Linked DNA regions of Arabidopsis thaliana. The main gene of each other region encodes a partner of the protein of the gene in region 2 in a complex. Each region holds a gene or a part of one and is shown on either strand. Other genes may lie near its edges.

The links.
Region 1: PSRP6 (region 2) and RPL4 share a complex: the UniProt entries of both Arabidopsis thaliana proteins name them as parts of the 50S ribosomal subunit.
Region 3: PSRP6 (region 2) and RPL9 share a complex: the UniProt entries of both Arabidopsis thaliana proteins name them as parts of the 50S ribosomal subunit.
Region 4: PSRP6 (region 2) and AT1G29070 share a complex: the UniProt entries of both Arabidopsis thaliana proteins name them as parts of the 50S ribosomal subunit.

Annotation. Positions count from the first base shown.
Region 1 is NC_003070.9:2,245,959-2,251,803, reverse strand, and holds RPL4 (ribosomal protein L4), read right to left. Parts: upstream 2,838-5,845; 5' UTR 2,615-2,837; coding exon 1,783-2,614; coding exon of another isoform or gene 1,778-1,782; exon of another isoform or gene 1,632-1,777; coding exon 1,615-1,631; 3' UTR 1,275-1,614; downstream 1-1,274. Other genes in the region: AT1G07330 (dentin sialophosphoprotein), read right to left, coding at 1-673; AT1G07310 (Calcium-dependent lipid-binding (CaLB domain) family protein), read left to right, coding at 2,971-4,029; AT1G07300 (josephin protein-like protein), read left to right, coding at 4,799-4,988, 5,511-5,845. UniProt on the Arabidopsis thaliana protein: This protein binds directly and specifically to 23S rRNA. May play a role in plastid transcriptional regulation.
Region 2 is NC_003076.8:5,905,025-5,910,078, reverse strand, and holds PSRP6 (plastid-specific 50S ribosomal protein 6), read right to left. Parts: upstream 2,491-5,054; 5' UTR 2,332-2,490; coding exon 1,942-2,331; 3' UTR 1,615-1,941; downstream 1-1,614. Other genes in the region: CSA1 (disease resistance protein (TIR-NBS-LRR class)), read left to right, coding at 1-252, 338-1,007, 1,144-1,205.
Region 3 is NC_003074.8:16,384,279-16,390,731, forward strand, and holds RPL9 (ribosomal protein L9), read left to right. Parts: upstream 1-2,116; 5' UTR 2,117-2,226; coding exon 2,227-2,379; intron 2,380-2,713; coding exon 2,714-2,841; intron 2,842-2,997; coding exon 2,998-3,043; intron 3,044-3,184; coding exon 3,185-3,282; intron 3,283-3,365; coding exon 3,366-3,413; intron 3,414-3,564; coding exon 3,565-3,685; 3' UTR 3,686-3,721; intron 3,722-3,969; 3' UTR 3,970-4,445; downstream 4,446-6,453. Other genes in the region: ACD1 (Pheophorbide a oxygenase family protein with Rieske 2Fe-2S domain-containing protein), read left to right, coding at 297-532, 627-753, 842-978, 1,062-1,221, 1,294-1,578, 1,672-1,926; CHX4 (cation/H+ exchanger 4), read left to right, coding at 4,446-4,709, 4,800-5,858, 5,952-6,453. UniProt on the Arabidopsis thaliana protein: Binds to the 23S rRNA.
Region 4 is NC_003070.9:10,147,200-10,153,204, reverse strand, and holds AT1G29070 (Ribosomal protein L34), read right to left. Parts: upstream 3,415-6,005; 5' UTR 3,322-3,414; coding exon 3,108-3,321; intron 2,310-3,107; coding exon 2,050-2,309; 3' UTR 1,798-2,049; downstream 1-1,797. Other genes in the region: AT1G29060 (Target SNARE coiled-coil domain protein), read right to left, coding at 3,746-3,907, 4,546-4,602, 5,040-5,163, 5,287-5,348. UniProt on the Arabidopsis thaliana protein: This protein binds directly to 23S ribosomal RNA.

The DNA.
Region 1 (5,845 bases), on a different chromosome or scaffold from region 2:
TTTTGTCTTCACGTGTAGTTTCTTCTTCTTCTTCGCCTTCTGATGACGATGAACACTCGATCTCGGTTTCGCCACCACCACTAGTCAACCTCTCCGATGGATCCACAACGGAAACATTCCCGGTGGTTGAAAGAGTTTCTTCATCTAAGCTAGGCTCAAAGGAGAAACCTTCAGACACAAGAAAGGCTCCATCTTTCTTGAATTTCTGAAGTTTGGGAGATTTTGCAGTATTGGGAATTTCACCATAGAGAGTTGTTAAAATGACTCTGTCTCTCTCATCTTCACTAGCCTGAGAAGAGTCCCAATCTTTCCCAACCTCTTCAACTTTCCTTCTAGCGTTTCGTCGAACACTTCGTTGGTGCTTTAAGTCAGCCTTCCTTGTTTCTTCCTCCTCAGATCTCTTTTGGGAAAATGGTGAAAACCAATTATCCGTTTTGATATGCAAAAGCTTAAAACTTGGATGATTCCGAAGATAAAACACAGAGCATGCGATTAACGGAGAAGAGTAAAGGACGAAATAAAAAAGGCGTGGAAGAAAAATGTATAGGAGGAAGATAATTGCAGAAACACCAGAAACAACTGGGTGATTCCTTACGTTTCTATAAACGATGTTCGTGGAAAATCTGAGAATTTTCCAGAACAGAGTTCCGACATCTTTGGCATCGATTCCCATGTTTTAAACAGTTCAAATTCTCAGAACACTTTGAGAGATAATAACCCAAAGCATTCTGTCTATGGCGGTTTGTGTTTTGTCCTAGAGAATCAAAATGCTTGAAAGGGAAAAACAAATATGGTTTAATTGAAGAAGCGAAAATTGATCAATAAGAGAGAGGTCAAGCTTTCATTTGAAACAATAACCAGTCAATAAAAAATAGATTTTTCAAGGGTTTTTTTAGATTTTCGTTTTGGTTCTTTTTCAGTTTTCAGAACACACGGTAAGGACGGAGAAGACAAAATAGAAAACTGGTAAGAGAGGGCGGGAGTTAAATTAGTTGCTTTCTTACACATGTTTCCAAAGATTCTTGTTTTCTTACACTTTTAACCACATTTTTTACTGGTTCAGAAATTGACCCTTAAAGTTCATGGATTTTGCATCTCATATCTCTTTCTTCAAAAGATTGGGCTATCTTCTTAAGCCCACCAAGACCCATCAAATGTCTGTAAATAACATACACTATTGACACTTCCTAAGTTTTCTAGCTAATCCTTTTTTTTAGCAAGTTGTTAACAGATTTGTGTGAGACTATTCATGATTTTCAAAACCAAGATGAACATCAACGCTTAAAGCTTATAATAGCCACTCTTTCTTGTTAACTTGATGACTAAAGTCAATCTTTGTTGCTCAATCTTAACTGATACACACACAATCAACGTTACTCATGATATCTAATTTCACTCCTTACTCCTTCATTGAGAGTTGGACACAAAATCAGTATGACAAGAAATTGAGGATGATCTCTTAAGAAAAACTCTAAAAGTAAATACACATTTCTCTTGTTGTGACACAAAAAGGAAAGAGAAGACCTCATCAAGGAGAGTGAGAAGATGTACTCAAGATTAAACTCATAATTAAGCCACACTTGAAGCAATTGGAACTACGGGTGCTACTCATTCTTAAGCTTCCTCTGACCCTTCATAACACAAACAAATAATTACTTTTCCATATTAACACATCATATTTCTACCTCTTCAAGAAATTAAAACCAGACAAAAACGATCAAACACAACATTCAAAACATCAAATTTCGACAACAAGCCAGTTCCTTTCAAGAAAACACTAACCTTCCGTCTCATCTTCATCGTCATCTTCTTCCTCCACCGCATCAACACCGTACCTCGCATTCAAGAACTCCACAGCCGCAGGAGTCAGAACAAGCTTATCAGCGTTCAAAATATCAAACAGATTCAGTGTCCTAGGCGTCAACATCCTCAAGGTTCCAATGTTCCTACTCGATTTCGCCACATTCTCATCCACATCAATCATCAAGAACATAGCTTTCTCCTTGGGATCCAATCCCCACCTTTGCATCGCAGCTAAGAAATCTTTAGTCTTGGGCTTCTCAAACTTCTCCCCAAATTCCTCCACCACTATCGCACCACCTTCCGCAGATGCCGCACTCGATAACGCCGTAGATATCGCTAGCTTCTTCTCCTTCCTATTGATTTTAATTGACCAATCCTTAGGTCTTGGCCCAAACACCACACCTCCACCGGGACGTAACGGTGTTCTCTGAGATCCACGCCTCGCGTGGCCAGTTTTCTTCTGTGAGTAAGGTTTAATTCCACCACCACGAACTTCACCGCGAGTCAGTGTGGAAGCAGTACCTCGCCGCTTGTTATTCAGGTCCGTCACGATGGCTCGGTGCACAACGGCACGCGCGGTATCCTCCGGCGCCGCTTTGAGGTCTAGATACGTCTCTCCGACCTTCTCTCCTTCGAATGATAGAATCGGTAGAGTCGCTAGCTGGGAAGAGACAGAAAGCGGCTTCGAGACTCTGCCGGAGCCGAGTTTTGAAACGGAAATGTAGGTTTTAGGGATTTGGTGAGAGGAGGATAAAAAGAGAGAAGATGAGAAGAAAGATAGCGAATTTGGTGCTGTTGCAGAAGAAGCCATTGTTGTTCCCTGACCTGACCTATCACAACGAAGAAGAAGAAGAAAGACTGAGAAAGTGTTATCCACTCTTCAAATGCCTATCTTGTGCTTGGTGAGAATTTATGCATCTGTTTGGACATAAGGATATAACTATCCTGTTCATGAATAACTCCAGCTGTCGCTAGTAAGAAAGAGTCAAACTCCAAAAGTCAAAAGCCTCTTATATAGCCAGCAGGTTTTTTGAGACATAAAACTCTGTGATAAAACGATGATAGTTGATGATAGCTGAGACTTTGATACAGATATTTGAGATACGAGCGCACGTTAGCTAAGACCACCGCGTAAGCCACCGTCTCGTCTTGAAACGCACCGTATTCATGACTTCGTCGGAGCCACTCGACCTGGTTGTCACCGTCGTCTCTGCCAAGCACCTGAAGAATGTCAACTGGCGTAACGGTGACCTGAAACCCTACGTTGTTCTGTATCTTGACCAAGACCACCCTCTCTCCACCCGCTCCGATGATTCCTCCTCCATCAAACCGGTGTGGAACGAGCGGATTACTCTTCCTCTCACCCGATCTGTCCACGAATCGGTCCTCAACATCGAGGTTTTTCATTCCAATTCTTCGGATCTGGCGAAAACCCTCGTCGGATCGGTTAGGTTTCCTCTAGCTCGTTTGATTGACTCGGACGGGTCAATGATTCCGGAATTGATCAACTCGCTCGAGCTGGTTCGTCCATCGGGTCGACCACAGGGGAAGATTCGTTTGAAGCTCGCGATCAAAGACAGACCAATCCCTCCACCGCAGCATCCTCCGCCACGTCCTCAATCTCAACCACTAGATTACTATTCTGCCCCTCAAGGAAACCATTATTACTCCCCTAGCCCTCCTCCTCCTCCTCCTCCTCAAGCACCGATCACCGCTCCATCTCCTCAGCGTGACTACAGAGAATTCTCACAGTCACCGTCTCCGTCTCCTTACGCATTCACTGATCACTACTATTCCGGGTATTATTATCCGCCTCCTCCACCACGTTCAATGTACGATCGTGCCTCCAATTACGGCCTCCCAAGTGGCCCATCTGCTCCCGTTGATGCCTTCTCATCGATTGATCACAAGCAGCCTCCTTTAGCTCCTCCTCGGTTTTCTAACTACGGTCCACCGCCTAGTGGGCCCTCAGCACCCGTTGATGCCTTTCTGGTTACCGAGTACAAGCCACAAGCTCCACCTATGGGCTCGCGATTGTCTAGCTACGGAGTGCCTAATGGTCCATCGGCACCAGTCGATTACTCTCCTTATGATCACAGGCAGTTGCAGAAGACGATGGGTGGATTGAGCTTAGAGGAAGAGAGAGCTGCTGCAGAGAGGTCTGAGAGTGATTTCGGAGCTAGGCCAAACTACAGCTATGGCCGTGATTATCGCCGTGAATGTTGAGGATGGCAAAAAGTTGTTGAATTTCACAAGTGTGCGGCGTTTCTAAGGCTTTACTTATCATCAGATTTGTTGGTGTTAGAACACCAGGAAATGGCTGATGACAAAATATGAATTTGGTGAAGTATATGTTATGTCTATATGTATGTCTCGTTTGTGAATTGATTTGTTGCTTCTTTCTAGCTGATATTCGGTGTTACCCCTTCTGTACCTTTGTACATGTTTCTAAAACATCTCTCATTTCTTTCCTTCATTCAGTTTCTTGAATCAAGCTATTGGGTTCTTAGGGTTAATGTTCTAATGTGAATCACTTTACTGTTGATTTATTGTTTGAACCATGCTCTGATTAGGTATGGTAGTATGCTCTGTCTCAGACATGAACAGTCCTATATCCTGCGATTCTGCCGAATATTTTTGCAGGCTGGTTAAAGACTTTGGTTCTTATTTCATGTTTGATGATACCAATGTGTGATTTTCGTTTGGAACCAGTGATCTCCATATTCATTGAGCGTTTGGATTAATGTGTCTTGAATCATGCTCATCACAGTGCAGAAAAGATGTTCTCTCTGATCGTTTTGGGTAAAATGGTATGTACACGGTTGGTGCTAAGTCTATTGTGCTCTTGTTATAACGATGAGACAGAGCAGTTTTGCTATTGCATTCTTTTCCCTTTTGGCATTTTGGTAACCTGCTATACATATCAGTCAATCTCATGCTATTTGCATCTAATCACTGACAATCATGCAGGTATTATTGTTCTGTTCTCAATGGAATGTTTTCACATGTAAAATCACTCTATTCTCCAGATTGTGTGATCTTCTATTTATGTCCTGACACTCCCTGGTTTATTATATGCTTTCTCATATTCTTGTACCCACCATTAACTTGTTTTTTTGTTCTTTCCTTGATCCCTCCTTTTTATTGTAGCCGCAGACTCATGAAAGGAATCTGCATCCATAAAGGTAAGATTATATTGGCCTCTCCTGGAGTCAAAAAGAAACTTTTTTAGATTGTTATGTAACTTATGTGCACACATGAGTGATCATCAAAGAAGAATGATACCAAATGGTTGCTTAACCTTTTTCTTCACTTAAACAAAGGGTTTATTCCCTCTGTGGACCGTAAAGAAAAATAGAAAAAACTAAACCTAGTCTTCTCTTTTTGCTCTTGGGCATAGTTCTCTTTATAAATTTGTAGATCCACTTTAACTACAAGTCTTTTTATATATAGGGTCTAAAATAAGATTGAAGTTACACTTTTTTGTTAGTTGTTTATTTGTTTATGTCTTGAGTGCTTAATCATGGCCTAAGCGTAATGATGTTATAGATAATATACATCATTAATCATTTCATGTCTTTTCCCGTATTTGCCTGAACTATCAGCACAACTGTTCTCAGCACCAGTCCGTTAAATATCTCTCATTATCCTCATATTGTTTCCCATAAACTTCTCTCACTCTCTCTATCTTTCTCTTGATATGTCAGCTACTGGTATAAAACGGTCCAACCTCAACACTAGACCGGTTCAGAGAGATGCTTCGGCTAAGCAAACAGCTATCAAGGGACCTTATGGTAAGAGTCCGGGATGCACAACAAGCTGCGGATTAAGGTTACCGAGGAAAACAGAAGTGACAGCAGCAAAATTGATCAAGCATCTTGGATGCAAATTTGCAAAAGGTTTGCGTCTGGTGGTGATGAGGAAGAAGAAAAGATCTCCACCGTCGAAGGTTTCTTCTTTTTCTGGGAGGTCTCAGCCACCAATCATCCCAATAAACAATGACAGTCATCGATCAGAGGCCATAGAAGACTGCATACAGTTC
Region 2 (5,054 bases):
TTGAAGTATTGTAAGAATCTTACACATGTTCCACAGCTTCCACCAAATCTTCAGTATTTAAACGTTCATGGTTGTAGCTCACTGAAGACAGTTGCAAAACCGCTGGTATGTTCTATACCGATGAAGCATGTCAATTCCTCGTTCATTTTCACTAACTGCAATGAATTGGAACAAGCTGCAAAGGAGGAAATTGTAGTATATGCTGAAAGGAAGTGTCATTTGCTTGCTAGTGCGCTTAAACGATGCGATGAGGTATCTCTATTCCTCTCCCTTGAGAGTTTTCTTTTGCGTAGTGGAATTGAGGTTAATGGTATATCCCCTTTGTATAACTTTGCAGAGTTGTGTTCCTGAGATTTTGTTCTGCACTAGCTTTCCTGGATGTGAAATGCCTTCATGGTTTAGTCACGATGCAATTGGATCTATGGTGGAGTTTGAATTACCTCCTCACTGGAATCACAATAGGCTTTCTGGGATAGCCCTATGTGTTGTTGTCTCATTCAAGAACTGTAAAAGTCATGCCAACTTGATAGTCAAGTTCTCTTGTGAGCAAAATAACGGAGAGGGCTCTTCCAGCAGCATTACTTGGAAGGTTGGAAGTTTGATTGAACAAGACAACCAAGAAGAAACAGTTGAATCAGATCATGTCTTTATTGGCTACACCAACTGCTTAGACTTCATAAAACTTGTTAAAGGCCAAGGTGGTCCTAAATGTGCTCCGACCAAAGCATCCCTTGAGTTTAGTGTGAGAACTGGTACTGGTGGGGAAGCTACGCTTGAAGTTTTGAAATCCGGTTTCAGTTTTGTGTTTGAACCTGAAGAGAACAGAGTTCCATCCCCAAGGAATGATGATGTAAAAGGTAAAGTAAAAATCAACAAAACTCCAAGTGCTAATGGTTGTTTCAAGGATCAAGCAAAAGGTAATGAATCTCCAAAGGGCCAGTGGCAGACTTACATTGAAAACTCTAGCACTAACATCCCAAGTGAAGCTCATTCTTCCCAAAAAACTGGTTTTGGTTCCACTCTTTTGTGTTAAACTCATAGATTGCCTCTGTTTTCACACTATTTATTCTTTCGAACTCTCTGTATTTGTATCTTCATTGTGTATTTCTCCAGATGATTTGACTTAAGCTTTTAAGGTGTCAGGGTTTAATGGGTTCAACGGGATGTACTCTGTATGCGTGCTTTATGAAATGTATAGCCATTGATGTTGATCTTGGAATTGACTCCATAAACATGCAATGCAAGATAAATCGATCTTCTAAATTTCTCCTGGGACTAGACCGATACAAGATAGATTCAAGAATCAGAGTGATCAACCCATAACTGATATAAACATTTCTAAAAATGTTTTTGCTGAAACTCTTCATCAAACACACTTTAGATCACTTGGCTTAAAAATCTACAATAGAGTGTTTAGACCAAGTGTTGCACTATGGTGAGCAGAGCACATTGCCGTTTCACCTGAATCCAATCTAAAGGGAAATTTTAAAATTCCAATAATGCGGTATACTATACCGTACTCTTTAGAAGCTACATTCCCATTGCTATGGCAGCAAACAGAGCATTTGACAACAACTCCAGCATCAACCGCCACAAAACAGATACCATTGTGCTTTCATTTTCACATATCAAACTTAAACTCTTGTCATCCCAATTCAATTACTACTTGCAGAAATTAATGAGACCCAAAAGGAAAAAAGCAATTATAGAGAAGCAACATAGATGACAATGACGAGAGCTATAAACTATAAAGTTGAGACCTTTAAACTCAAAAACAGAGGAGAAAGGTTGAAGCTTTATAAATCGCAAATTTGGTCCATTCATTCACCAATCAAACACAAACAAACCCAACAACAAACATCAGAAAACTGAAAACACAGTAAACAACAACAAAAGTTCTCAAACTAGATTACAACCAAATCAGCAGATAACTCATACCAACTAGGCAGCGCCTGAAACCAAATCTCCCGCAGCAGTGGCAGCACCACCGTCGTCAGAAGCGAGAGTGAACGGACTCCATTCCGCCGGAAGAGGAGGAAGAGGAGCGTAAACAGTAGGCTTTCTCTTAATGTCCCAAGGCTGAGTCTTCTTCGGCCTCGTCTTCCTGTGATGAGCCGTCGATTTCTTCTGTGGCCTCGACGAACACTCTATCACCATCCCTAATCCTCCTCCATTACCCAATTTTGGAACTTGAAATTGGCGGAGAACCGGAGAAGCAGCAACGGTGACGATTCCGGTACCAAAGATCGCTGACACAGACATGGTTTCCTTATCTTTGTGCAAGTGAAAGTGAGTTTGAGCCTCTTGCTTCGGATTAGAGAAGAACTTCATATCTTCGTTTTCGTTTTTCCTGGGCTTTTTTATTGGGCCTTTGAGGTGTCTATTGGGCCTTTGTATATAGTTATGTAACTCGTTATGCTGCAAGCCTGCAGGCTGCAACAATCTATAAGATAAGAAGAGAACAAAAATTAAATTATTAGTGGCATCGAACTTTTTGTTGCTTAAACGTATCGAACTGTATAACCTCGTTAATTAAAGGAATTTAAGAATAGAGTAGCTGATTAAAAATGTATATTTTGCAATTTGTAAAGATGTCATGTATGATGTATACAGAGTTTTAAATGTTTTCTTTAACCTTAAACCAATAATGCTACAAGTGACTACGAGATAAGGTCTTTTGAATCACTTCTACAATAAAATACATTATTTCGGATTCTGCATCTTTTAATACTACACAAAAAAATACTTTTTTTATTAGTTTGAGTTTTAGGATTTATTTATATTCAAAGTATGCTTATTAAATTAATAAATTTGAATTTTCTTAACTTTGTTGTGTAATTTTTTTTTTCTTTTTTTTATAAACAAGACACGATTCATAGTCAATCCTTATTATGCGAAGTAACACGACTTAGTAGAGTCAAACTCTGGTAAAAAAGGTAGAATCAAATGGATTTAACTACTTAACTAAAAACATATTCTCATTTATGGTGTAATTTAGTTATCGAATTTGAGGAAGAAAACTAACTTTTTGTTTCAAAAAAAACACTATAAAAATGTTTATGTTATCATTGCTTCCTCTCTTTTAAAAAAGAAAATAAAATTAAGCTAGCGAACATTTATGTGAACTGACATTCGAAGACATCCATTCTAGTGGCTTTTAGGGTTTTTCAATGCTGCCAAAGCGACCAATAAATATATTTGTCCAAAACCTGTCTAATACTTATGGTTAATAATGTATTATACCTCAATAACAAGCCTAAGTTAGGCTTCAAACTAGCTACTATCACCAACCTAACCAATTTCACATTATATCAAAATAATCAATTGTCAGCGAAAATTGCGATTGCCATGAAAATTACTCTTCTTTACGTAGACTCAAAAACATTTACTAAAATTATGGCCCAAAATAAGATTACTTTCTTCTACGTGACTAGCATTATCCAATACATTCACCAAATCCACGTGCATCGGATTATCACCCCTTATTTTGTTGTCGACAAATTTGATTCTTTGGGTTCTTTATTTACAATAATAGTACTACGTATCTCTATATCAACAGCTCAGCCACTCGATTACACTAGTACGAAGAGATTCTGTTGGTTAGATCAAATTAGGTATCACAAACCTACGGTACCCATTGTTGCATTAGTATATAGTTTCGCAAACCTTATCCTTATCTTAGCACCGTTGAAATTATAACCGCGAGATAACACTTATCTGACTCTTTTTTTTCTAATCCCACTTATATATCAATCAATTTCATTCATTTTTAGAATCACGAAATTTGATTATTTGTCTTAAGTACGAGTCATCAACCATGGATAGTTAAATAGTTTTTTTTTTTTTAACATCTTGTTTTATTTTATTAGAATTGAAAGAAAGATTACATAGTTATTAGACACACACATATAACCAAAAGATGATTTAAGTTTAAGAAGAAGATACAATCGAACAAGTGAATTAAACAAATTAAATAGTTATACACGATATAACACATACATACATATATATAACACATACATACATATATATATATATATTTGTTTACAATATTATTTGATGGTTTTATATAAACAAATATTAGTCTATTTACAGGTAAGTGTCTTGTATAAAGGCCTAATTTGAGCCAGTTTTAGTCATGTGATTGCATTACATCGAGAAGAGAACCATATATGAATCGATTGCTCTCGTCCGTTTGCACTTTGCATTATTGCGTTATTTTGTTTTCTTGGAATTAGAGTTTGTATTTTGTACTGCACTAGCCATGCCAGCTAAATGAATATACCAGGAATCTTTTGGATACTTTTTTTGTTTATCAATATTTTTATTTCGGACCTTAATTAAAGGAAATTGATCTTGGTCGGAAATATTTATATATTATCTAGAAAATTTTAAAAGATACGTAAAACAAGCTTTTCCTTTATGAAAAACGATCGATTATTATTTAATAGAAATGTATAATAATTTCATGTTAAAAAATGTTAACAGTTTTCAATAGAAATATCGGTTACGTTGCATAAATATTTATCTGACTACAAAGTAACGTTGTGTCAATATAGAGTAAATGACATAACTCCTAAGAATACAAAAGGAATAACTACTTGTCATGAATATTGGAATAAAGACTTATAACGTATTTTCAACTATCTCAAATCATGATGAATACAAAGTAGCCGGCGGTTTTTTCACTAAAAAATAAAAGATGGCGGTCCAAAATTTTATCAAATTAATGATCTTTAATTTTTGTTTGCATCATTTATTAAATTCTCATGTGTATTCTTTAACGATGCAATATAAAAATTACAAGCAAATCATAAGAATGTGGATATGACGACTATGTTTGAAAAGTCGTGATCGGTTGAGATTGCGTTGCAAAGTGGTCTACTCAGCCAAAATACTTCTTAATCACATCAATCGACCTTCAGGTTTGGAGTTTTCTCCATTTTCAATTTTTTCGAATCCTAGTTTTATTAATTTTATCAATCACATGTCCATATTTGATAACTGATATATAACCATACATAATATATAAATAATCAATTTCTTTTTAGGCC
Region 3 (6,453 bases), on a different chromosome or scaffold from region 2:
CTCTCTCTTGGAAGAAACAGTTCAAGTAGTTTATAACTGTGATTTGGATTTGGATTAGAAGAATAAATTATTGTAGATGATTGTTTATTGTAAAGTTTTGATTTTTAAAGTATATCAATTAGGTTAAAAGCTTCAAAGAATAAAATATTAGGGTCAGAATCAGAACAGTTTTGTGTTGTTGTTATTGTTATGACTTATGAGCAAAAAGAAGTAAACTTTGTTGTGTATGTAACCAAAGTTTTGAGCTTGACTCATTGATGTGTTTGTGTATGTGTTGATGCATTGTGGTTATGTAGGAAGGAAGGTTGGATGAGAATGGACACTTGCAATGTTCGTATCATGGATGGTCATTTGGTGGGTGTGGATCTTGCACTAGGATTCCTCAGGCTGCTACTTCAGGTCCTGAAGCTCGTGCTGTTAAATCCCCGAGAGCTTGTGCTATTAAGTTCCCGACAATGGTGTCTCAAGGTCTTCTCTTTGTGTGGCCTGATGAAAATGGTTGGGATAGAGCCAATTCAATTGAACCCCCTAGGTAACGAAAATGATTATCTTCTCAGGCTTCCATGAACATAGCATACTCGTTTTATTACTCGTTTTATTAAATGCGTTGATCTTTAACATAAAAGGTTGCCGGATGATTTCGATAAACCGGAATTTTCGACGGTGACAATTCAAAGGGATCTTTTCTATGGATATGATACTCTCATGGAAAATGTATCTGATCCTTCCCATATAGATTTTGCTCATCACAAGGTGTTGTTTTCTTTCTCAAAGCTCCCAATGTGTTTGCATTTCCACTAAGGGATATTATCCTCAGGCGATGATTACGTGTTGTAAACAGGTTACAGGAAGAAGAGACAGAGCCAAACCATTGCCGTTCAAGGTGGAGTCAAGTGGGCCTTGGGGTTTCCAAGGTGCGAATGATGACAGTCCAAGGATAACCGCAAAATTTGTTGCTCCGTGCTATTCTATGAACAAGTGAGTGTTGAGTTTGCTCACTATACATAATAAATGGTTAGCATACAGTTGCATAGAATGAAATTGTGTATCCTTGTCTACAGAATTGAGTTAGATGCGAAACTACCAATCGTCGGTAATCAAAAATGGGTCATTTGGATTTGCTCATTCAATATACCAATGGCTCCAGGAAAGACCCGTTCCATCGTTTGCAGCGCCCGTAACTTCTTTCAGTTCTCTGTACCAGGACCAGCTTGGTGGCAGGTAAAACAAACTTTGATTCCATCTCTAATCCGATTTTACTACGTAAATTCTTCTGAAGCTGTTCCTTGTTAGGTTGTACCAAGATGGTATGAACACTGGACTTCGAACTTAGTCTATGACGGAGACATGATCGTACTTCAAGGACAAGAGAAAGTATTCCTCGCTAAATCAATGGAGTCACCAGACTACGACGTGAACAAACAGTACACAAAGCTCACATTCACTCCAACCCAGGCAGACCGTTTTGTTCTAGCATTCAGAAACTGGCTCAGACGGCATGGTAAGAGTCAGCCTGAATGGTTCGGCTCCACCCCGTCTAACCAACCTCTCCCTTCCACTGTCTTAACCAAGCGTCAGGTGAGCCATCAATCATGCATCCTAACATCATTTGATTGATCTCTATATATATACAAACACATGTCTGAAAACGTGACAAATTTGAACAAACAGATGCTAGATAGATTTGATCAGCATACACAAGTATGCTCTTCCTGCAAAGGAGCTTACAACAGTTTCCAAATCCTCAAGAAGTTTCTCGTTGGCGCGACGGTTTTCTGGGCCGCCACGGCTGGTGTTCCTTCTGATGTTCAGATTCGACTGGTTCTTGCTGGTTTATCACTGATATCAGCTGCTTCTGCATATGCTTTACATGAACAAGAGAAGAACTTTGTGTTTAGAGATTATGTACATTCTGAAATCGAGTAGATTTGTTGTGTATATGTATAATCATCATACAAAGTACAAACATTGTAAATCAAAATCCAGAGGAACTTTTAGCACTATAAAACCGATTTAACCGTTAAATTTTGGGTACTCAATTGAACTTTATAAAACTTTTAAGTAAGAAAACAGAAAAGTAGAATAATTACGGGGTCAAATTCGAAACATAAGAAAAACATTCGTCACTTCACTTGAGCAAGCACACGAAAAGCCGATAAGAAGATAACAATTACTACAACTGTGCGCTCTTGTTATCTCTGCTTTGAAGTGAAATCAGCTTTGGCTATGGCTTCTTCGACAGCTTTGTCTCTCTCATGGAGCTCCTCTCCTTGTTGGTCACACAGCTTCAATGGCGGTGCAAATGAAACCCTAAAAGTATCTGAGCGAAGGTTCAATTTTGAAGTTGTTTCCCAGAAGAAAGCTAAGAAACTTCGCAAGGTAAAAGTCATTACCTTTCATGGGTTTCCTTCAAAAATTTGATTTGGCTTTTAGTTAGTTTTTGATTTGAGCTTGTGTTTCTGAAGAATTTTGGTGGAGATGAAAGTAAAAGACTTGAAGATGCTTAATTTATGGGTTTAGTGTAAAAACATCGTCTTTGTTCTTGTATCAGCGTAGTTAGGAAGAAAGATGAATCAACATTAGAAAAGTAGACGCCTTTATATTACCAGTTTAGTTTCAAGTAGTGAAGATAAATTGGTTTGAAGCTTTGTTTCTGTGTAGAGAAATGGAGTAAGTGAAACACTAATGGTAAATCTTGTTTTGTGTCTTTAAGGTAATTTTGAAAGAGGATGTGACGGATTTGGGTAAGCAAGGGCAATTACTTGATGTGAAAGCTGGATTTTTCAGAAACTTCCTCTTGCCTACTGGAAAGGCTCAGCTTATGACTCCACTTCTGCTCAAGTAATTCACCTCAACTTCGAAATTTCCGTTCGCTTTTGTATGCTCTTACTATTCGGTTCTAAGGCCTTTGTATTTCGAGGGACTTTGCTACAATGTTGTAAGATCAACAAGAAAAACATCATTTTCTTTCTTTTTGTGTGTGTGTTTTTCCCCCAGGGAATTGAAGATGGAAGACGAACGGATTGAGGCAGAGAAGCAAAGGGTAATCTGATATGAATACATTGATTGTTTTTATTTGATCATCATGTAAAGTTTTGGTGTTTGAGTGATCACCAAAAAACTCTTTGGTTATTGATTTTCATCTGTTTGTTGGTTTTTTCTTTGCGTGGAACCTTTTTTGCAGGTGAAAGAAGAGGCACAACAACTGGCGATGGTATTCCAAACCGTTGGTGCTTTCAAGGTTAAACGCAAAGGCGGTAAAGGCAAACTGATATTTGGATCGTAAGTCCTACTTAAGCAAATCTAGATTTTAACAGTCTTGAGAATAGTGTTTAGCCTGTACTTAACTTTATATTTTCCTGCAGTGTCACAGCTCAAGACCTCGTCGACATCATCAAATCACAGCTCCAAAAGTAACAACATAGAAAATTTTACATTTCCACATAAAAAGCTACAAGCTTTCTCATGTGGGCGGTTTAGTTGGATCAGTCTACATTTGGTTTTTAGTGTTGTTCGAAGAACCTAATATGGTTTTATCTGCTTCTCTGTGGCTGTGTTTTGCAGGGACATCGACAAACGCCTTGTCTCTCTCCCAGAAATCCGTGAAACCGGAGAATACATAGCCGAACTCAAGCTTCACCCCGATGTCACTGCTCGAGTTAAGATCAATGTTTTCGCTAACTAAACCTTCAACGATTCAAGACTCCTACTGCATCCCAAGGTATTTCTTGATTTTCCATGATCATGTGGCTTTTAACCATAAATGAAACTAAGTATTAGTTTTGTCTTAGTTCGTGTCTTAATTGGCATGAAATAAGTAGTTAAACCGATGTTCTGAACTCTGAACATCGGCATATAAACATTGGTCGGGAATATTGGCTGTTGAACGGAGTTTTGCGTTTTAAGGTCTAGCCGCAAACGCAGATGCTAATTGTCCATCGCACTGTGTTTGGTGTTTTGAACTTGCAGGAACGTATAGAGAGGGAAAAGAGAGTAGCCTCTTGTGGTGAGGATTGAAGGTTGTGAAGTTTTTCCTTTAGATTGTTTGATGCATTTGTATTTTTGCTATTTTTGGAATCTGGAAACGCTAAAAGTATAATATTCTCTTGCAAGTTATGATATTTACTTGAAGTTATATTGTATTCATTTGTCTGTTGAAGTGATGAGAATGCTTAAATTAACACTAACAAGCTGTTTAAAAAACTAACAAATAACCAGAAATCTGAAAAACTATGTCGCCGTCTCTTGTTCCCACAAGATTGACTATTTTTAGAGAGTTGTTGTTTAATGACAAAACCCAGATGTTTTTTTGTTTCACTGCTTCTCTTCAATTCTGTTACCAAAACCTTTTTTGTTTAAGACAGTTATAGCTCTTGATTCGGTTTTTATAATCATATGATTCTCTTGTTTCTATCATCTTTGTTCTTGTTAACAAGTTTTGTCCAATGGAGTTTAATGGTGATAGGATCCCTTACCTGAGAGATACATGGAGAGATGCAAACATGATCTGCGGTATCTTGCCTATTAACCCGAGCTCGAGCGGGCTATGGCCCTCCCCGAAGCTCCCAGATCCTCAAGCAAACATTGAGTTCTGGAATTACATGTTTCCACATGTTCAGATCATTTTCCTTATCGTCACTATTCTCTGGCAATTCTTCCATTTCTTCCTCAGACGTCTCGGCATGATTCGTTTCACCTCCCATATGCTTGTAAGAACTTTACTCAATTCTTGAATCTTCAAATCTCTCTTCCTCTTTGTTTGCATTGCTTATGTTTGATATTCTGTGTGGTTTTGCCAGACTGGGATTCTCTTGAGCAAGTCGTTTCTTAAGGAGAATACACCGGCTAGGAAATTCCTCTCGACGGAAGACTATAAAGAGACTCTGTTTGGTTTAGTGGGTGCATGTTCCTACATGATGTTTTGGTTCTTGATGGGAGTTAAAATGGACTTGAGTTTGATCCGCAGCACCGGGAGAAAAGCTGTAGCTATCGGTCTTTCCTCAGTGTTACTCTCTATAACGGTTTGCGCCTTGATCTTCTTCTTGATCCTAAGAGATGTAGGGACGAAAAAGGGAGAACCGGTTATGAGTTTCTTTGAAATCATTTTCATCTATTTGATCCAATGCCTTTCGTCGTTTCCTGTAATTGGAAACCTTCTTTTTGAGCTTAGGCTCCAGAATTCAGAGCTTGGCCGTCTCGCTATGTCTTCTGCAGTGATCAGTGACTTCAGCACCTCGATCCTCTCTGCGGTTCTAGTCTTTCTAAAGGAACTCAAGGACGATAAATCTCGGCTTGGATCAGTTTTTATCGGAGATGTTATTGTTGGAAACCGTCCTATGAAGCGTGCGGGCACAGTGGTCTTGTTTGTTTGTTTTGCCATATACATATTCAGACCATTAATGTTCTTCATTATCAAGAGAACACCTTCTGGTCGTCCCGTAAAGAAATTCTATATATATGCAATCATCATTCTTGTCTTTGGATCAGCCATTCTTGCCGATTGGTGCAAGCAATCTATTTTCATAGGACCTTTTATCTTAGGCTTAGCTGTTCCACACGGTCCACCTCTAGGCTCTGCAATACTTCAGAAGTTTGAGTCTGTGGTTTTCGGCACATTCCTTCCTTTCTTTGTGGCTACCTCCGCGGAAGAGATCGATACTTCGATTTTACAGTCTTGGATAGATCTCAAGAGTATTGTCATCCTAGTGTCTGTATCGTTTATTGTCAAATTCGCTCTCACGACTCTCCCTGCCTTCTTATACGGTATGCCAGCAAAGGATTGCATTGCTCTGTCTCTAATTATGTCATTCAAAGGCATTTTCGAGTTCGGTGCTTACGGTTATGCGTATCAAAGAGGGGTAAGTAAATGTATTTGACATATTTCCTTCAAAATGTATCTAACACATTTTGATACACTCAGAAACTGAGCTTAGTATTCATTTTGATTGCAGACTATTCGGCCGGTGACCTTTACGGTTTTATCTTTGTACATCTTGTTGAACTCTGCAGTCATACCTCCGCTCTTAAAACGCATTTATGATCCTTCGAGGATGTACGCAGGATACGAGAAGCGGAACATGCTTCACATGAAACCAAACTCCGAGCTCAGGATTCTATCGTGTATCTACAAAACAGACGATATCCGTCCGATGATCAATCTCCTTGAAGCTACTTGTCCCTCAAGAGAAAACCCTGTAGCTACTTACGTCCTTCACTTGATGGAGCTAGTAGGACAAGCCAATCCAGTCCTCATCTCTCACCGATTACAAACCCGTAAAAGTGAGAACATGTCTTATAATTCTGAAAACGTCGTTGTCTCATTCGAACAGTTCCACAACGATTTTTTCGGCTCTGTTTTCGTTAGCACTTACACGGCTTTATCCGTGCCGAAGATGATGCACGGAGACATCTGTATGCTGGCTTTAAACAACACAACGTCTCTCATCATCCTTC
Region 4 (6,005 bases), on a different chromosome or scaffold from region 2:
CTTCAGATTCTTCACCGTAACACAATTTCGATTTTCGTTTTTTTCTCAGAATTCTAATCTCAATTATGTAAATATCTTACAATATAATCTCTATTATAATAGGTAATCATGAGTTTTAGTTTTGTCAAAACTTTTTAGCATGAAAAACTTCTGAGCCCAACCAATTTTTAAAATTTTTAATTTCAATCTCAAGTGTCAAATTCGCCGAAACCTAGAAAACATTTAATGCATTTCTCGTCGATGAACAGTGTACGTACAAATCCGGTTCTCTTGGATTCCAACGACGCGGTCCGTACGTACAAACCGGGTTCAGTTTCGTCAGGGGCATTTTGATCAGTTTTTGGCTGAATGGCTAAGAAATGAAAGGCCCAGCCCACAATGTCAAAATCTAAAATTAAAAGTGAGTCAACGGCTACTGTGCGCAATTTACCCTTTTTTTTAAACATCTTTTTAGGTGACTTTCACATCATGTGTCAGATAACTCTTATTTATAATGTAAATTTGAAATAATAATATTATTATATATTAGAAACTATCATATGAATATATAGACTATATATAATTTCCAACGGTTATGAGAAACCGTTTTCTCTTAAAATGCAATCCCCAAGGACAAGTTTGTTGGCGTGTCGGGATAACCAACAATCTGTTGGATTTGATCACTTTTGGATAATCTGTTTTTGGTGGGTTTTCTTTTCTCTTCATTCGATGGAATGTGTGTCACTAGTCTGGTTGCACTTTTCATCAGTTTTAAAGTGCATTTTGGTGGTTGGATAAGTTTGGAAAAATTACAGATATTTTCCATGTAATATGATGGATAGAATTCACTATATAAAAAAAAAAAAAATCGCGTGTTTGGACTTTAGCTGAGTTTAGTTGTGTTTTGCTCAATGTAAACATATATCAACCATTTCACGAACATCAATATGCAATAGAAATGGAATTCTCATGCCATCTCGTCCTAAGATCCTACTCACGGCTTTTACTAGCTACTAGCTAGTCCATCACATCATACACCTTTTAAACATAATAACGTATGTGAATTATGTTATGACCGGAGACTTTCCTTCCTATGAAGAGTTTGATGAGTAGAGGAGTGACACGGATCGAATATTTGATAAATAGCTCATTCATCTAGATAGGTTTAAAACTTTAGACTATTACATTGTAGACAAAAAAAAAAAAAAAAAAAAAAAAGGATACAGAGGCCTTTTATCGGCCCACCTTAAAAAAAGAGAGCTACAGAGGCCTTTTATAGACCCACTTTAAAAAACAAAGATATATGAATTTGAGATAAGAAACCTTATTTCAAACAAGAGAATAGTTTATTTTGTCCCACATCGTTTAGGTAGAGATAGTGATGGTAGTAACATGCCTATAAAAAAGAAAGAGCTAATTACGTAAAAGGCATGATCCTTCAGGCAAGTTAAAGGGGATATGATGAATGGTAAAAACTCGCTTATATTGCGAGAAGAGCGTTCCGCCCAAAGCCTGTTACGACTATTGGGCGCTCTCTTTTTTACACAATCTGATCCCTCCCTAATTTCCAATAAGAAGGAACTTTTCTTTTTTAGTTTTGGTTTCATTTTTCTTAACTAGTTTGTTTTTGGTGCAGTTTTCTTTTTAAGGGGAATATAATTTAGGGTTAGTACTTAAAAGTAATTGTTAGGTTGAAATAAAACTAGTAAATGAAAGTAAAATCCTTCAGGGATTGAACCCCAAACTATATACATCAACTTTCAGCAACCATTAACACTACTTGGAATCTGAACAATTCTTACACACCAGAATTATCCTGGTGGCCAGAAGAGATCTTTAAGTAATTATGGCTTTGAAGTTGAGACTTCGAGTAGTAACAAATTCAATGAAGCAAGTAGTATAGTAGTACATGTGATGAATTCCAAGAACATTGATTTATAAACGAATCAAGGATGCAAGAGAGTTAAAACGCAGAAAAGAGCTCAACGAACCATGTTTCTCATTGTATCTTCTGGTGGAAAAAAAGCACATGAAACAAGATTACAGATAGAGTGAAGAGAGAAACAAACTTCAAGCCCGTTTGCCGCTGCTAGGGTTGGACTTGGGACAGAGGTTCCAACGTCCCTTGGCACGTCGACGCTTTATGGTTGCTCTACCGCTAGTGGTCCTCATCCTTCTACGGAAACCATGAGTCCTAGCTAGAGATTTTCTTGATCTGCTTCTCTTAGTTTGACACAGAGCAGCTTTTCCAGCTCTAACCACAAGGCCTCTGCGTCTCTGGCCATTCAGTCCACTAGTTTGACTGCTGAGATCAAACGCAATGGACAAACCTGAAAAGACAGCAACACCATTTTGATCAATGTGACATTATAGGTTTGATAGTGTATCAAGCTGATAATATTGGAACCGGTAAACTCCTTCCTTTAATTACCCAAAGAACTCACCATACAATACCAAACTCTCAACACACTGCTCAGAATCAAGACCCAGACAAATCCAAAATGACTTTAATGCATTCTCCTAGGTTACCCTTTTAACTCTTGAGCTATAACCATAACGTCTGTTGCTAAATTGGCAAAGCTTATAATTCACTGCTCAAATCTTAGCCTAGCTACAATGGTCGTACAATATACTTTACAAGAAAATTATGATCAAAGGAGGAGGAACAAGTTCATGTGACATATTGAAGCAAATCTATAACCATTGTACCTAAATAATCGACATGAGCTAAAAGATTTTTGTACTAAAAATCAAACAACATTTACTTGCGGCTACAAATACATGAGCTAAGATATCAGAAATTGAGGCTTAAGTTGCAAAATGTTATCTTCACTTGTTGTTATAAACTTAACAAGAAATATCAGAAACAAACAAAATGGCTTCTTTCACTCACACTCCCAAATCGAATTCACCATTGACAACTATGTTTCACAATTCCCAAATTCTTCTAAAAAAGCTTCGAATATATGTGTTTGCAAAGTAAGCTAGAGCCTAACACACGAGAATAGTGATAAATCAACCAAACCCAAAGAACCAGAAAAAAAAATCAAAATTGGGTAAAAGAACTTGATACATTACATCACCAGAAGCTAAACACAAACAATAATTCGAACCAATTTAAGATGTACCAGAAAATGGAGACGCTAGGGAAACAGGCGACGAGAGAAACGAGCAATGAAGCAATTGCGAAGAAGCGGAAGAAGTGAGAGAGGACGAACTCCGTCTACAACCCGTACGCAGAGAAAGCGAAGCAGAAGGAACGCAAATCTTGCCGTTGGAGGCAGCAGGATTCCATAAACGCGACGAAGCCGAAGCTACAACGGAAGTGGATAAGGAAGCCATTCAAGTTCCCACTTCTTATCTCCAAACCCAGTTCCTTTGTTTCTCCGGTCTCCTTTACATAGTGTGGAACCTCTATCGTCTACGGACGATACCACCATAAACTTACGCATAAGAACCAACCATAATAATACACGTATCACGACACTTCAGCCCATAAGACTATAAAAGCCCAATACTGAATTGGACCGGACGGGTAATTAATCAAGTTAAGGCCAGATTTGAACTGGTCTAAAATATCTCATGCTGTTGTTCTGTGATACAATTTTGCTTCATGTAAACTGTTAAAAACAGGCACTCTATATAACAGGTAACGAGAAGAACCACAAAATGTTTGTAATCTAGAGGATATTTTCTACAACTTATCCAACATTCATCAAGGGTTTTTTTTTGGGGGGTAACACAAGTATGCCATGAGTCTCTCTATCTATCTTTTGAACATCTTGGACCACATGTAGAGGATAAAGAAGAGGAGGAGCGCGAAAAGAACTACGTGCATTATGTGGTTGTTACCACTACGGATTATGCTTAGGTTCAGTTTCCTTATGTTGTTCTTCACCCCTGCTTGCGCTCTGATCAATGTCATTTGCTGTCACAAACAAAAACAAAATACCATTGAAGCGTTTTATGTTTCAGACAAGAACAACATTTCGTCTACTTATTTTATTTTGCTTATAACAGCACTAAATGCTTGTTTCTGCAGTCTCACTACCAAATCTAGTTGTTTGTCATTATCTTCTCTAGGATGTTCTTCTAGGTAACAAAAGAAAAAACTAGAACGAACTAAAAGCAATGAACACATTCAACACCAACATTCTCATTGACAAAGTGGCAGGAACTCAATGATAAGCTGTAACCATTTCCTGCTGCATTTCACCAAACTAGGTGAGATTGAAGATATCTAATCCTACCCACCACCAGCGTTCAGACCAGATCCTAAGTAAACATAATCTACACTTTGGATTTATCAAGATTCATTGGTTTTGTAAGCTACGGTTAAAGTTATCTAACATATGTTAGGATGAAACTATATTTTCCCAACTAATAATGAACAGAGACATCTGAAACAAGTTATAGGAAACCGATATTCGGATATACTATATATAATCAGTGATTCATCTTAAAGGTAAAGAAGAGTAAATGAATGCATGTTACTGATGTTAAGTGCTTACATTGCAATTTACTATGATGGATAAAGAAAAAACTAAAGGGACATCAACAACATACCAGTTCATCTAAGAAGTCCCTCTGAGACTTTGCTTCTGACCCAATTTCTTGAGCAATCTGCATCAAAATAAGCGATCAACGATATAACAAAAAATCATGAGGGATAAATAATGCGCAAAAGTGCAAGGTAAAACACAAGGAATTGTAGAGAATGTCGACTGATTCCTTCAAGAAGGGTGGTGATATAAAACAATAACCACAGATGTATACAAAAGACATCAGACAAGTGGATTCAACTAATTAATCGTGGACTGACTGATAAGTATTGTGAACAATAACATTATCATAGTACCCTGAACAAAAAAACACCTACACAACTAATTAACCAAGCTCTAACCACTGTCAAAACCGAAAAGAAGACAAATTTCCAAATTCATATGATCAACTTAAAGCTTAAAGAGAACAATGATCCTTCAGAACCACAAGAAGACAATACAAATGGCACTATAGATAAAAAGTAGAAAGATCGAAATGGGATTTAGAGGGTTTCTTACATTTTTCAATTGCCTGACTTGGCCATGGAGACCTAGAATCTCATCATCCAGGTCAGAGTGCATAGGATCAATCCTCAGCTGAATTTCCTCTGAACCTGAAGCATTTCTAGTGCTTAGCCCTTCTCTACAAATCACACACCAAAGATAAATACTTGTACTTTACGCAGAATTCACCAAATCTAGGACCCGTTTTCTCTATCCAGAATCGATTTCAGAAAAGGAGAAACTGATAATATTAGAAATATACCTAGATCTATACGGATCAGCTCCGCCGTATAGAGAACCACCCGCACCGCGATTGGACGCCATCGACGCGAAATCTAATGGGTGTAAGAAACCCTAAATTCGAATCTGCTGGGGTTTGAGAAATTAAGTTTTGTATTCTCTCAGAAAATTCGAGATCGAGAAATTGCAACCAAAAGAAGAGAACAAATTTCAGGCAAATCAAAGAGAAAAACGACGACGATTGAAACAAGCTGGGCGGGTGCTCTTCGATTCAATGATAAATGACCGCGAGGGAACACGTGGCGTTTTAATATTGGTTGATTATCGTCATGTTTTTGAGTTATGTAAACAAATAAAGAATGGCAGTTTTGAAATATTCGTCAGCCAATATTTTTTGGTTTATGGGCTTTTTTAACGGGCCGATCCCAACTTTAGTGGACCACAAATTCATTCGTTCATAATGATGTCATTGAAAAAGAGAGGTATTTACTCTGTTCGTTCTACATTCGTTGTATTGTAAGCATCAACGATACCCAATTACACAAGAAAAATGTTGTTTTTTCATGATGGTGTTGTTATTTTCTAATTGTTGTTAACGAAGAGTAAAGATAATAGAATCGTGTTTGCATTGTAGTCGTTAGTTTATCCATCGGTATTTATTTTTAATTTTTTAGTCTTTTTTTAATATATTAATTTTTAGTGATTGTTAACCAACTGTTTTATAAACGTTAACGATATGTA